Drosophila melanogaster: one gene and its partner. The protein of the gene in region 1 interacts with the protein of each later gene in a pairwise test. Each region holds a gene or a part of one and is shown on either strand. Other genes may lie near its edges.

Region 1 (5,217 bases):
CCAAATCGCCATTGACGTGAGCCGATGGCACATGATTGCTGGACGGCCGATGACGACCAATCCGGAATGTGCAGATCTATTCAAGTGGATAAGCCTTCAGCAGAAGCATTACCGGAGGCATATCCACACCATCCCATCGTACCAGCAACCCGCACCATCCCATTTCATCGTCATCGAAGTCCGAAGCCTACGCTACTCTTGTTATTGTTGTCGCCTGCAATCGAAACACGAAAATGTGTCACATAAAAATGTTGAGAATATTTATGTGCAAAAAAAATAAAATAAAAACAAAAAGAAATACCAAGAAGCCGTAAAGAAAAGAAAACATATGAATAAATAATAATTATAAATATTTGCCGCTTTTCTTTAAATATTTACTCGAGATGATTGGGCGCCAAAAATAGATTGGCTACGTAATCGAGGTATATTTTCGTACCTACAGTTATTGATTACAGTGCGGTTCAGCACTGTAACACCACAATTGGCATCTGCTAAGCTCGGCAGTTGCTGTGCTAAAGAGTTTAACATTTTAGTTTATTCCAAGCTGCCAGTTTAGATCATAATTTAAATAACTATCTGCAATTCTTAGAAAATTATTCTGCGTGCGTTCTAATAAATTTATGTTAGATATATTCATAAGAATCATGACAATTTGAAAACTATAAACAGTTTATTTAAAAAAACCTTCCAGAGATATGGACATTATTTGATAGGAAAAACTGTGGAATTCGGAAAATATGTTCATAAAAGAAGAGTTTATCCCATTTATTAACAGATCTAAAACAGGAAGTAGTTCAATTACGAGAGGAATATTATTAATTGAAACATTATTGGATTGATCGAATAAAAGCCGGTCATAAGATTTAATTTTTTAAATCCCTCTAAATGAGTGAGCCCGGCTGTATGTAATTAAGTTAATCTCTCCGACGGCCCTAAACATAACATAATCGTGCCAAGGTTCCTCGGGAGCTTGCAGTCTGCATGGAAAATGGAGATGGATGTGTTGGCTGGGCATCAGAAGTCACTCAGCCAGTGGCCGCCCCCCGATGATCCCGATGATTAATTGCAGCCAGAACTGCAGACGACGACCACGACGACGACGAGGAGGAGGAGACATCGTTGGCACGCGCAATCCGTGGAATTTGCGGAATTTGTGGCGAGCGCATTTAAGGCGCCCAGTGTTTAATTATGCATGCGGTCCCAGAACTTGGAGATAAATTAAGGCAGCGGACTTTGATGCATGGCTCCTGCTCCCGGCTCCCTGCTCTCTGTCGCCTGCTGCCTGCTGCCTGATCCCATCCCCGCCAGAGTTTTGGAATCGCTCTGGCGCCAGTGGAAAATTTTCACTTGGCCCAATCTCAATTGGGCTGCGCAGATCCTTAAACAAGCCGGTTCCATTCAAACACTGCCAACGATCCTATCAGATACGATACGTTCCGATATGATACGATCCAAAAAGTCATAATTAAAAACATAGCTTGAGAGCGAGCGAGGCGAGTGCCAGATGTGTGTCTATGTAAAAGGACAATTTGATGGGAGTGCGTAGAGCAAGAGCAGCACATATGTAAGTACCAACATGTGTCCACGATAATATAATGATGCCCCATACATAGAACTGGGTTCCGAAGAAGATCCCAGCGGCAACATGGGCAAGCAAGTAGCATGTAGCAAGTAGCAACAAACATCAGCACTCGATGGGGGCACAAACACATCGCACATCGCGATCGGGATTGAGTTGCAGATATAGATGGAGATTGATGCCTGGCGCCGACAGAACATGTAATTGAGTGTCGTGGACAATTATAGCCGCATCTCAAGTCCCCAATTGGCCAAAAAGCCGCTCGAGCATCTCGCCGGAGCGCCAAGAGATCGGAGAGAGAGTAAAACCAGCAGCAGCAGCAGCAATACATATCGCACCGCAGCAGCAACAGCGCTGCCGGCAGCAGCAACAGCAGTAGGCAGCAGCAGCAGCAGCAGCAGCAGCAGCTAGCAGCAGCACATACGAATCCTCAACGTTAGCATTTCCACTCCCAGTCGCAAAGAGACCGCCCTGCAATCTAGACGTGATCAGCAGCCCATCAATAAAAAAAAATACAATAGAGATATACTCGCGGTGTTCGACAAACAAACAGGCAAATACAAAATTTTTTAGAAGATTAATTCCGAGCATCGGCGATCTATATACAAGCGGGTCAGAAGGTCTAGCAGATAGGAGGAGGCGGAGGAGTAGCAGCTCCAGCTCTAGCTCCAGTTCTCCATATCCCAGCCGTTAAGATTCGATACGATCGATACGATCGATCGATCGACCGAACTTAACCTTAAGTGCGGTGCGCGTGTGTTATTTGAAAGATCTTTCAAAAGTAGTGACAGTGCGGCTTTGAAATCCGATGCCAGCGGTTCAGAGAATCAACGAAATCCTGCTGGAAAACCGAGCTGCCATGGAAACCCCCGCACGCACGCATATGTGCGCCTAGTGGGTAATTTCCCGAGTCTTTCGTGTTTTCCGAGCTGCCTGCTCGAACAGTTGATAATCCGCCGTCCGAGCGAATGCAACGTGTCCTGGTCTCGAGCCGGAAAACCGTGATTTGTGAACTGTGAACCGAACTGTGAACTGAGATATCGTAGATAGCGAAAAAGTGTACATATACAAATATATTATTGCTCTGGCCAAAGAATTGTGAAATCGCATTCACCGAGTGACTGAGATCACTCTACGAAAATGACTTCCCTCGTGTACACCGTCTTTCACCTGGCCTCGCTGCAATGTTCCGTGCGTCCGGAGATCTCGCCCTGCACCTGCGAAACGGGCAAAGCCTGGAATCATGTGGAGCTCTCCTGCGAGAAGTTGGAATCCTTCAACGCCGTCGTGGACAGCCTGGCCAATAAGCTCAATGCCGACACCAATATCGACCTAAAGATCACGCACTCGCAACTCGACGACCTGGAAATGCGCTCGTTTACGGATATGAACTTCAACTTGTACAAGCTACGGATGCAGTGGAACAGTCTAAAGTGAGTTGAGTCATCGATTCGGTTTGCAATTTTGGAGAGCAGGAGCCAAATAGCTCTATAAGGGGTTTCCCAGCTGTGGTGTAGATTCTATACAAATTCCTTTGCTGAATCACTAGATTTTTAGAAACTGACTAAAAAGTCGCTACTTTACATTTGCCAAGTATAGATAGATTCCATATATTGCTCACAAGAGGAACACTCCTTTTCATATAGCATACATTTATGTAAGTACAGTACAGATATATCGTTGGTAGCGTGTGCCAATTTGTGTAGATCGAGGTATAATGATGTATTGGGGAAATTTTCCTGCTATAGATTCAATCAAAATTTCTTTACTGTGGCGGGGAGTTCAAGGCCAACAGCCAAGTTCCGCAGAAAGGCAGAATTTTCCGCTCGGCCGGCTATCAATTTAGGTTCCTTAAACCCAATAAAAACCGAGAGAAAAATAATAATGCAAAATGTACACAAATTTCAATACGCTTATGTAAATGCACGAAAAAATGTGCTCCACAGATCGGTTCGGGTGGCCAGATCTTGTTTACAGCCATATACATACTACATAGATACTAAAACAATAACAATGTCGTTTGTTTACGTCAAAGAGCCCAGTGCCGCCTCATTATCTATGGCTCAATTGGGCAAATTGCGAAGGAGATGGATGGATGTGGTTGGAGATGGTGCAGTCGCATCTTAATTGCCGCCCAGATGATTTAATTTTTCAATTAGGAAGTAGCATTGAATTGCCGCTAATTCCCAACTATGGGATGTGCTGCCGTAGCTTGAGTCTCGTCGTCTTCTTCTTCTACTACATCTTCTTCTTGTTCAATTGATAACTGATAACGCTTATCACCTACGAAGTATTTATATAGGATTCCGCCTATGTACTTAGCCGTATGGCTGACTGGAGGTATACGACGTATACTTAATGCGTACACAAAATTGATAATTGCAGTTTGTTGAAGGCGTCTTTTCAACGGCGCCTGCACGTTTTCCGACTCTGACTCTCAATGAATTTCAATTCACTGTCGCATTGTGTTTTATATGTACACATATTGACAATTATAATTAATGCATATAAATAAATGCTGTCGATCCACTGATCTGCACTTGCGAATATAGAAATAACATTCGAGCCTATTTCATAAGCGCCTGTCGCGGGTTCATTGATATTTGACTCCGTTGTTTTACAGCCACGATTTTACATTCGCGATTCAAAACAAAATATGACTCAGGGGATTCTTTGTGCCCAAAGCCCCAAAAAAAATGTTTTCGAAAACTGAATTCAATCACAAGGACAAGCGTTTGTTTAATTTATCAATAGCTTCATTCAACTGTATCTTTGTGTTAGCCGAATTGAAATATCTCTTTGTTACAATCCATAGTACTAGACTCATTCATGTTTATATTCCAAAAAAAAAAAAAAAAACGCTTATCTTTATTGTTTTTGGGAATCTATTAAAAATTTAATAGCGACTGTGTGGGATGAAACTGGGTTTAGGCGTACATTCGGGAACACGTTTTAGTAATATAGCACAAATCATCGAAAGTATTTGGAGTAACAAAGTGCGAAAGCTCCACCAATCAACCGATGGCGACCTTTTAGTTCTGGGAAAATCCATTCCTTGAATCAGTTTTCTGAAATCATGGCAATTGCCCGGCGACTACCCCCACGATTAAACTATTCGATTTATCATTCTCCGAATGCAATTTGCGTGTTTGCATGGAAGTCGGCATGATTTAATTAGCCGACTTGATCGAATCAGTGTTATGCACCATCTCCCCAATCGGCGATCTCCCCCAGAATCCAGCTACCAAGCATCCAACATCCAGCATCGAGAATCCAGCGGAGAGCGCGTGCCTCTGGTGGCAATGCCTTCGATTCTGGCTGCTCGGGGAACGCTTTTTACATTGATGTCAATTTATAACAATTGACCTATTGCCTTAATATCGTGCTTTGACCAAATCATGCCAGCCAGCCAGGAAAAGTATCGCCAGCACACATGTGTGTATTCGTATGCACTGCGAGAAATTGGGCGGGCTTATCTTTCTGACAAGAAACATTTTTAATATTGGGTATACAAGTTATGCATTTTAAATACTTCAAGGGTAAAAATAATTATTATTATAATTATAAAGCCATTTCTATTAATCAGTTAAAATCATTTATTTCCTGTGTGGCGCCATCATGAAATCTCAATTTTTTTT
Region 2 (5,842 bases), on another chromosome or scaffold:
TACTCTTTAAAATTTGTCGTTGAATTTTCCATAAATGAAATATTACCTAAATATTTATAACAAGAAATTTTAAATTTATTTTAATTTAATTTATTTTAACGCTTTTTTATGCTTTTAAATTTAAATTGAAATAATTGAAACTAATTAAACCATCGACGTTGGATCATAGTGCATTAACAAATTTAATTGATACCTATATCTGCGACAGTTTCTCACGCCTTTTTTTTTTTGAAACCGATAAGGAATCTTTATGATTTCAGACCCACCGCAACCAAATTGCTGTTACTGATTATATGGCTAACCGCCTGAGTGGCGTTAAAGGCCGTTTATGAGGTGCTATAATTCTTGATGAACTAACTAAATGTTTTTATGGCACTTAAAAATTGGGAACCACCCACTTTAATTTCTTCATGTGTGTGAGCACAAAGCATAGGTGAGACTTAAATTAATGCTGATTAATATTTATGTATGTATCTAATATATAATCAGAGTTGAGAAAAGGGGTTTTTTCAACACATTTTTATTAATATATACAAGAAACGATTTCATGAGTTTCATTTAATTATTGAATATAATTAAAATATGTACTTCTTATACATAGCTGGCCACTGAATACTGACAGCATAGTCGGGCAGGGAATTGGCAAGCCTGATGGACTCATCATCGCCTTTCACGTGCATGTAGTGCGCCCCGATTCCCATCTGGAAAAGTGGGACAGTGTAGACGCCATCGGCTTTCTGTTGAAATAAATACAAATGAAATATAGAATTAATAGATAATGTGATACTCGCATACCTTAAGCTCGATGTGGAAGCGCAGTGGAGTATTATCGATACCAAAGGAGTAGTAGATGTGGTACGGAGGTGAATTGGTTGTTAGGTATTCCTTGAGGAACGACCAATTGGAGATGATCACATCCTCGTTGGGAGAAATGAAAATGCTGGTGTGATCCGAGGTCGTTAGTTCAAACTCGAATTGAACAGTCTGGCCATCCGCCAGAACAGTTTTGTTAAGTTGCTTTAGAATCGGTTCAGCTGGTGTCCAAACGGGATTCTTTCGCGGCAGCCACATGGTAGTTTCCATAGCCTCCACCCATCGGTGATCGTACAGCGGCATGCCGCACATCATGTACTTGGCACAATCGGATGTCATGTTGACCAGACCAGTGAGATCCACATTGGACTCCAGCAACGGAGTAAGTCCGCGACGATCCTGTAAGTTGAACAGATATCCACTCTCATCCTTGCTCACTGTTCCATCATACTCGTAGAAAATGCGGCGCACTTGCTGAAAACGATCATGTTGTAAGTAATAGTTATCAGTATCTTTATGCAGACATAAAGGTTTATAACTAACCAGGTAGGGCACACGCTGTACGTTGGTTTTGGGGCGGTAGGGGAATCCAATGTCGGTGGAGCTGGCAATGTATACACCGGCGGCAGTTACGGCCAATAGACCGATGAGAACGAATCCGGATCGGCGGGACATATTGACCAGTAAAATCTAGGGATAGTTTGATACTTTATGTTTACTTAAAAAACTTAAGCAGTAAATATTCTTACCAAAAATCCCATGGACAATATGGTTCCCAGGGCAGTTAAAGCTCCAATGATCAAGTCAGGATTGGTGTCCCTAAAATGTCATACAAAAAAGTGTCTAGAGATTTGATCTATGAACCATTTCTTTTTACTTACACTCCAAAACGACCCATCATTGGCGTGAGTATCACAATGAAACAGTAGAAGAGGTAGCTGTTATACATGAACGGAGCAACCTGGACAATCTTCAATATACCTGTCCAGGAATAGCCACGATCATGCAGTGTGGTAAGAAGATTGAAGGCCAATGGTATTACGTAGAATGCCAGCGTCCATGTAATGACATAGGTGGTGCGCAATCCATAATAATTGATGGCAATGCAGAGGATGGAAAGCACTGCGGCGTGTCCATGGAGTGCCAGTTGAACTTGTTGGGCAAAGGATACCTTCTCCTATTTAGATATGCAACATTACTATCCCAAAGTATCATGAACCATACCATGAACTTACGGTATTCGCCAACTTCAGATAGATATAGCTGGGCAGAGTAAGGCCCAGAAGACTGGGACATATGTACAATCCAATCAGGAGCGATGGAGTGGCGAAGTAGCTAAGCGATAAGCCGTATTTGTCCAGGCCATAGGCCACCAAAAGGGGCAGGGCCAATGCCAAGACAAAGGCGATCAGCTGGACCACAAGAACTAAGATGAAGGTGCTCAGGATCTGTTCGGAGCTGACACTTGATTTTTCCGCTATGCGAAGCAAGGAGATATAGATCAGGATTATTGCTGCGGCAGCCACGGCATAATTTAGCTTTACACCGACATCGGCGGAATAGCTGATCAGATACAATCCCAGGACATCGAAAAAGATGGTGTTGCCAGTCGGATTCGCCTGTTTTCAGAAGAATTACATAATTAACCAAGAGTTATTTTACATAAAACACTGGCACCTACGCTGAGATCGCGCAGTTCGCTGGCATTGGACAGAGTTTGAACCAAACCGAGAAGATTGTCTCCTGTGTTCTGCAGAGCTGCCCGTGGAATCACATCGATGCGATCATACTTGGTATGATAGACGAATCCATTGATGCACTGGCCAATGTCCAGACCTAGCATTTAAGTTTACCTAGTTATATACAACCGAAAAATTAGTAATTAGCTTAGCTTACCAATAAGGTTTCCGTATTCAACGAAAATATCGAAATCAGTGTAAGATGGAACAAGTCCCGTTTGGAAGATTTCCTCAGCCATGGTGGTGGAGAAATAATGCTTGGCGCCATCCTTATATATCTGCAAGATATCACATGAAACAGCTAGATATATAGATAGTTTCTTAAGTAACTAGAGGATTTATTACCTTAACCAACCATGGATTATTTGGGCCAGATTGGAACATTAGTTCGCGACCACCACTGCCAGCTGCATCCAGATTAATGACCGCCCTTGTAGGAAATATTTTTTATAAGTTCTATAAACATTATATCTTATTGCTCCTTGAACTTACTTGCAATTCTTAGCCCATTTGTGGTAGGCAATGAATCCGTGAGATGCCTGCAGCGAATTTTCCTCGGATCCGTTGATCAAAAAGATAATGGGATGCTCGAATGATTTTCTCCTCGATGAAATCACTCGAAGCACCTCCAATATGGAGACCACCATGTGACCATCGTCCCCGGTGGAGGGACTAGTTGGCTGAGAGTCGAAGTGGCTGTTCACCAGGATGTAGTTTTCACTTGTGGTGCCCTTGGGCGTGAGCTTAACCACCACGTTCTGAATGCCTTGGTACATGTTGACCAGATTCCATTTTACATACGCACCGTAGGCATACTGCAAATCAATTTCCATATCAAATAGATCCTCTTGAATATTATCCTTTATCAGATTTAATTCCTTTAGCAGGAACTGTACGGTCTTGTGCTCGTTTTCATCACTTCCAACCACTTTAGTGCCGATAGCCTCGAAATCATAGAGATTGGCCTGTGCCCTTTCGGCAATGAATCCTCCTTTGGAGGCATCCTCGACAGTCAGCGGTTCGGGAAGTCGGTAAAAAAGTGGTTTAACCACGGCAATGAAGAGCAGTGCCCAGAACAGGACAATGCCTCCAGCAAAGTACCAGGGTAGTTGAAAGTACACTCTGTGTTTTCTTCCATGTTTCCTGGAGTATGATTTGACTCCTTCTTCGACATGATCGTCTAAAATCTAAGCAAAAAATCAGTCCAAAGTTACTTACTTAGCTACTTAATTATTTAGAGATAATAGTATAGAAATATATATAATTCGGAAGCTAATTGTATACTTACAAGTTTTTCCTTGTCACCCATTTTGTCGATTTGCAGACCTTTAATATGGGAGTCAAAACTAGACTGACTTGATTTCTATGCTAAACGCTTTTATATCCCAAAAAATTATCAAAACTTCGTAATCATATCTTGAAATTTTATAGCACAAATAAACACAAAATATAAGCATTGCGAGAGTCGCTAAAGTAGAATCAATACTTTTTAAGTAATAAAACCCATAAAACCTATAATAGAGTTAAATTGTATGGTTAATTTATTCCTTTTCCAAAGAATTTTTACAATTTTTAGCTAGTCGATTAACTTGGCTTGTCTTTTTAAAATATTTCCTTCGTATTTCATTTTATTGATTCAAAGCCAAATCATCATGTCTTACTTATTTTTCAAACCCACCTCTTTTTTGAAAATTGAAATTGCTCTTGAATAGTCTACGGATTTTAATGTGCATAATAACCATTAAAAGATATGACTATCTGGCAACTTAAGCGAATTTCGATTTCTCACACAGATCTTGGTGATTAGATATGGTTTGTACTCAGGACCAGGGCAACGCACCTTAAGTTGTTACCAAAAGAAATCGATTCACTTAATTGCTGGTATCAATCAATTATCAACACTTATTTTATGGGTTCATAAATTTTTATATGGAACACGCGTTTGGTAGTAAAATACATATTCTTTATGCTATATATTTAAGCTGTAAAATTTGCATTATATCACTGTCTTAAAATATCCTTAAAATTAATATGTAACGTTTTTTGTGTTTCACGGCTGATAAGAAAACGTGTATAAGAACTAGTTTTTGCAATATTTCAATTTCAATTAAGTTCAACAATGTCGAAAATGGAAAATATGGTACATAAAAAGATGGCTTTGAGAATATCTGAACTCCATACACATATATATAAGCCGGCTTTAGGGATCTAGAAATTGATCTTGCTCGTAAGCTTAATTTATGAATAATAAATCTGAATTTCACATGTAGACCACCCGTATATAAGATTTAAAGATACTAAAGTTATTATTCAATGTTTAGCAGTTCATTTTATTGTTCGACTTGTGTTTAAAATAATTATTTTCGCGATCGAGATCGAAGTCCTTAGAAAATGTAACGTTGGTAGGAAGCTGGCCAATCCACTGCAGCGGCAAATGATGGTATCTTCTTGGCAAACTCCTGACTGATTGCATCGCCTTTGTTGCCAATAAAATGGACAGCCAATCCGATCTGACACAAGGGTACGGCAAAGTCGGCATCCAGTTTCTATGAATAATAAGCAAAGATTATTTCAAAGTATTTCGCATGTGCATTCATCTGACACTCACATAAAAGTCAATAAAGAAAGTCAATGCCGTGTTGTTCTTGCCATATGAGAAGTACATATGGGAGGTATCCTGCTGGCCAATGTAACTCGTGGGCAGGCTCCAGTTGGAAATGATAACATCTTCAAGTGGCTGGATAAACACACTGGCATGATCCGTAGTCGCTGATTGGAAATTCATGCGCAGTGTATTGTTTCCCAGTTCCGTTTTGGACAATAGCTCAAGTTTCGGCTCATATGGCGTAATGATTTCCTCTTCTCTTGGCAGCCACATTATCTGCAGACGATTCTTAACCCATCGGTGATCATATAGAGGAAATCCGCACATCATAACCGTATCACAGTCCGCAGCAATGCTGACCAATCCAGTCGTATTCAACTTGGACAGTTTCAGGGGTGCTGGTCCCCGACGATCCTGGAAGTTGAACAGATAGCCGGAGTCATTCTTCACAACTGTGCCATCGTATTCGTAGAAGATTCGTCGTACATGCTGTGAAACGAAAATAACTTCATTATTTGATCTTTAAAAGTAGTTAGGTTTACCAACCAGGTAGGGAAGTCGCTGAACGTTGGTCTTTGGACGGTATGGAAAACCAATTTGGGTGGAGCTAGCCGTGTAAATGGTCACAGCGCTTATGGCCAACAAGGTGAGCAGGATCAGACTGGGGCGTCGGAACATGTTAACT

What was found. Proteins that work in one complex are often made in the same cells at the same time.
Region 2: the proteins of ltl (region 1) and CG10081 interact in a two-hybrid assay, tested with the Drosophila melanogaster proteins (one large-scale study listed by BioGRID).

The regions. Positions count from the first base shown.
Region 1 is NT_037436.4:7,516,966-7,522,182, forward strand, and holds the start of ltl (larval translucida), read left to right. Parts: upstream 1-2,031; 5' UTR 2,032-2,719; coding exon 2,720-3,012; intron 3,013-5,217.
Region 2 is NT_033778.4:19,383,987-19,389,828, reverse strand, and holds CG10081 (uncharacterized protein), read right to left. Parts: upstream 3,907-5,842; 5' UTR 3,862-3,906; coding exon 3,841-3,861; intron 3,740-3,840; coding exon 3,045-3,739; intron 2,983-3,044; coding exon 2,898-2,982; intron 2,831-2,897; coding exon 2,710-2,830; intron 2,650-2,709; coding exon 2,495-2,649; intron 2,433-2,494; coding exon 2,049-2,432; intron 1,991-2,048; coding exon 1,695-1,990; intron 1,633-1,694; coding exon 1,563-1,632; intron 1,504-1,562; coding exon 1,357-1,503; intron 1,288-1,356; coding exon 796-1,287; intron 738-795; coding exon 576-737; 3' UTR 511-575; downstream 1-510. Other genes in the region: CG10073 (uncharacterized protein), read right to left, coding at 4,937-5,098, 5,161-5,646, 5,704-5,842.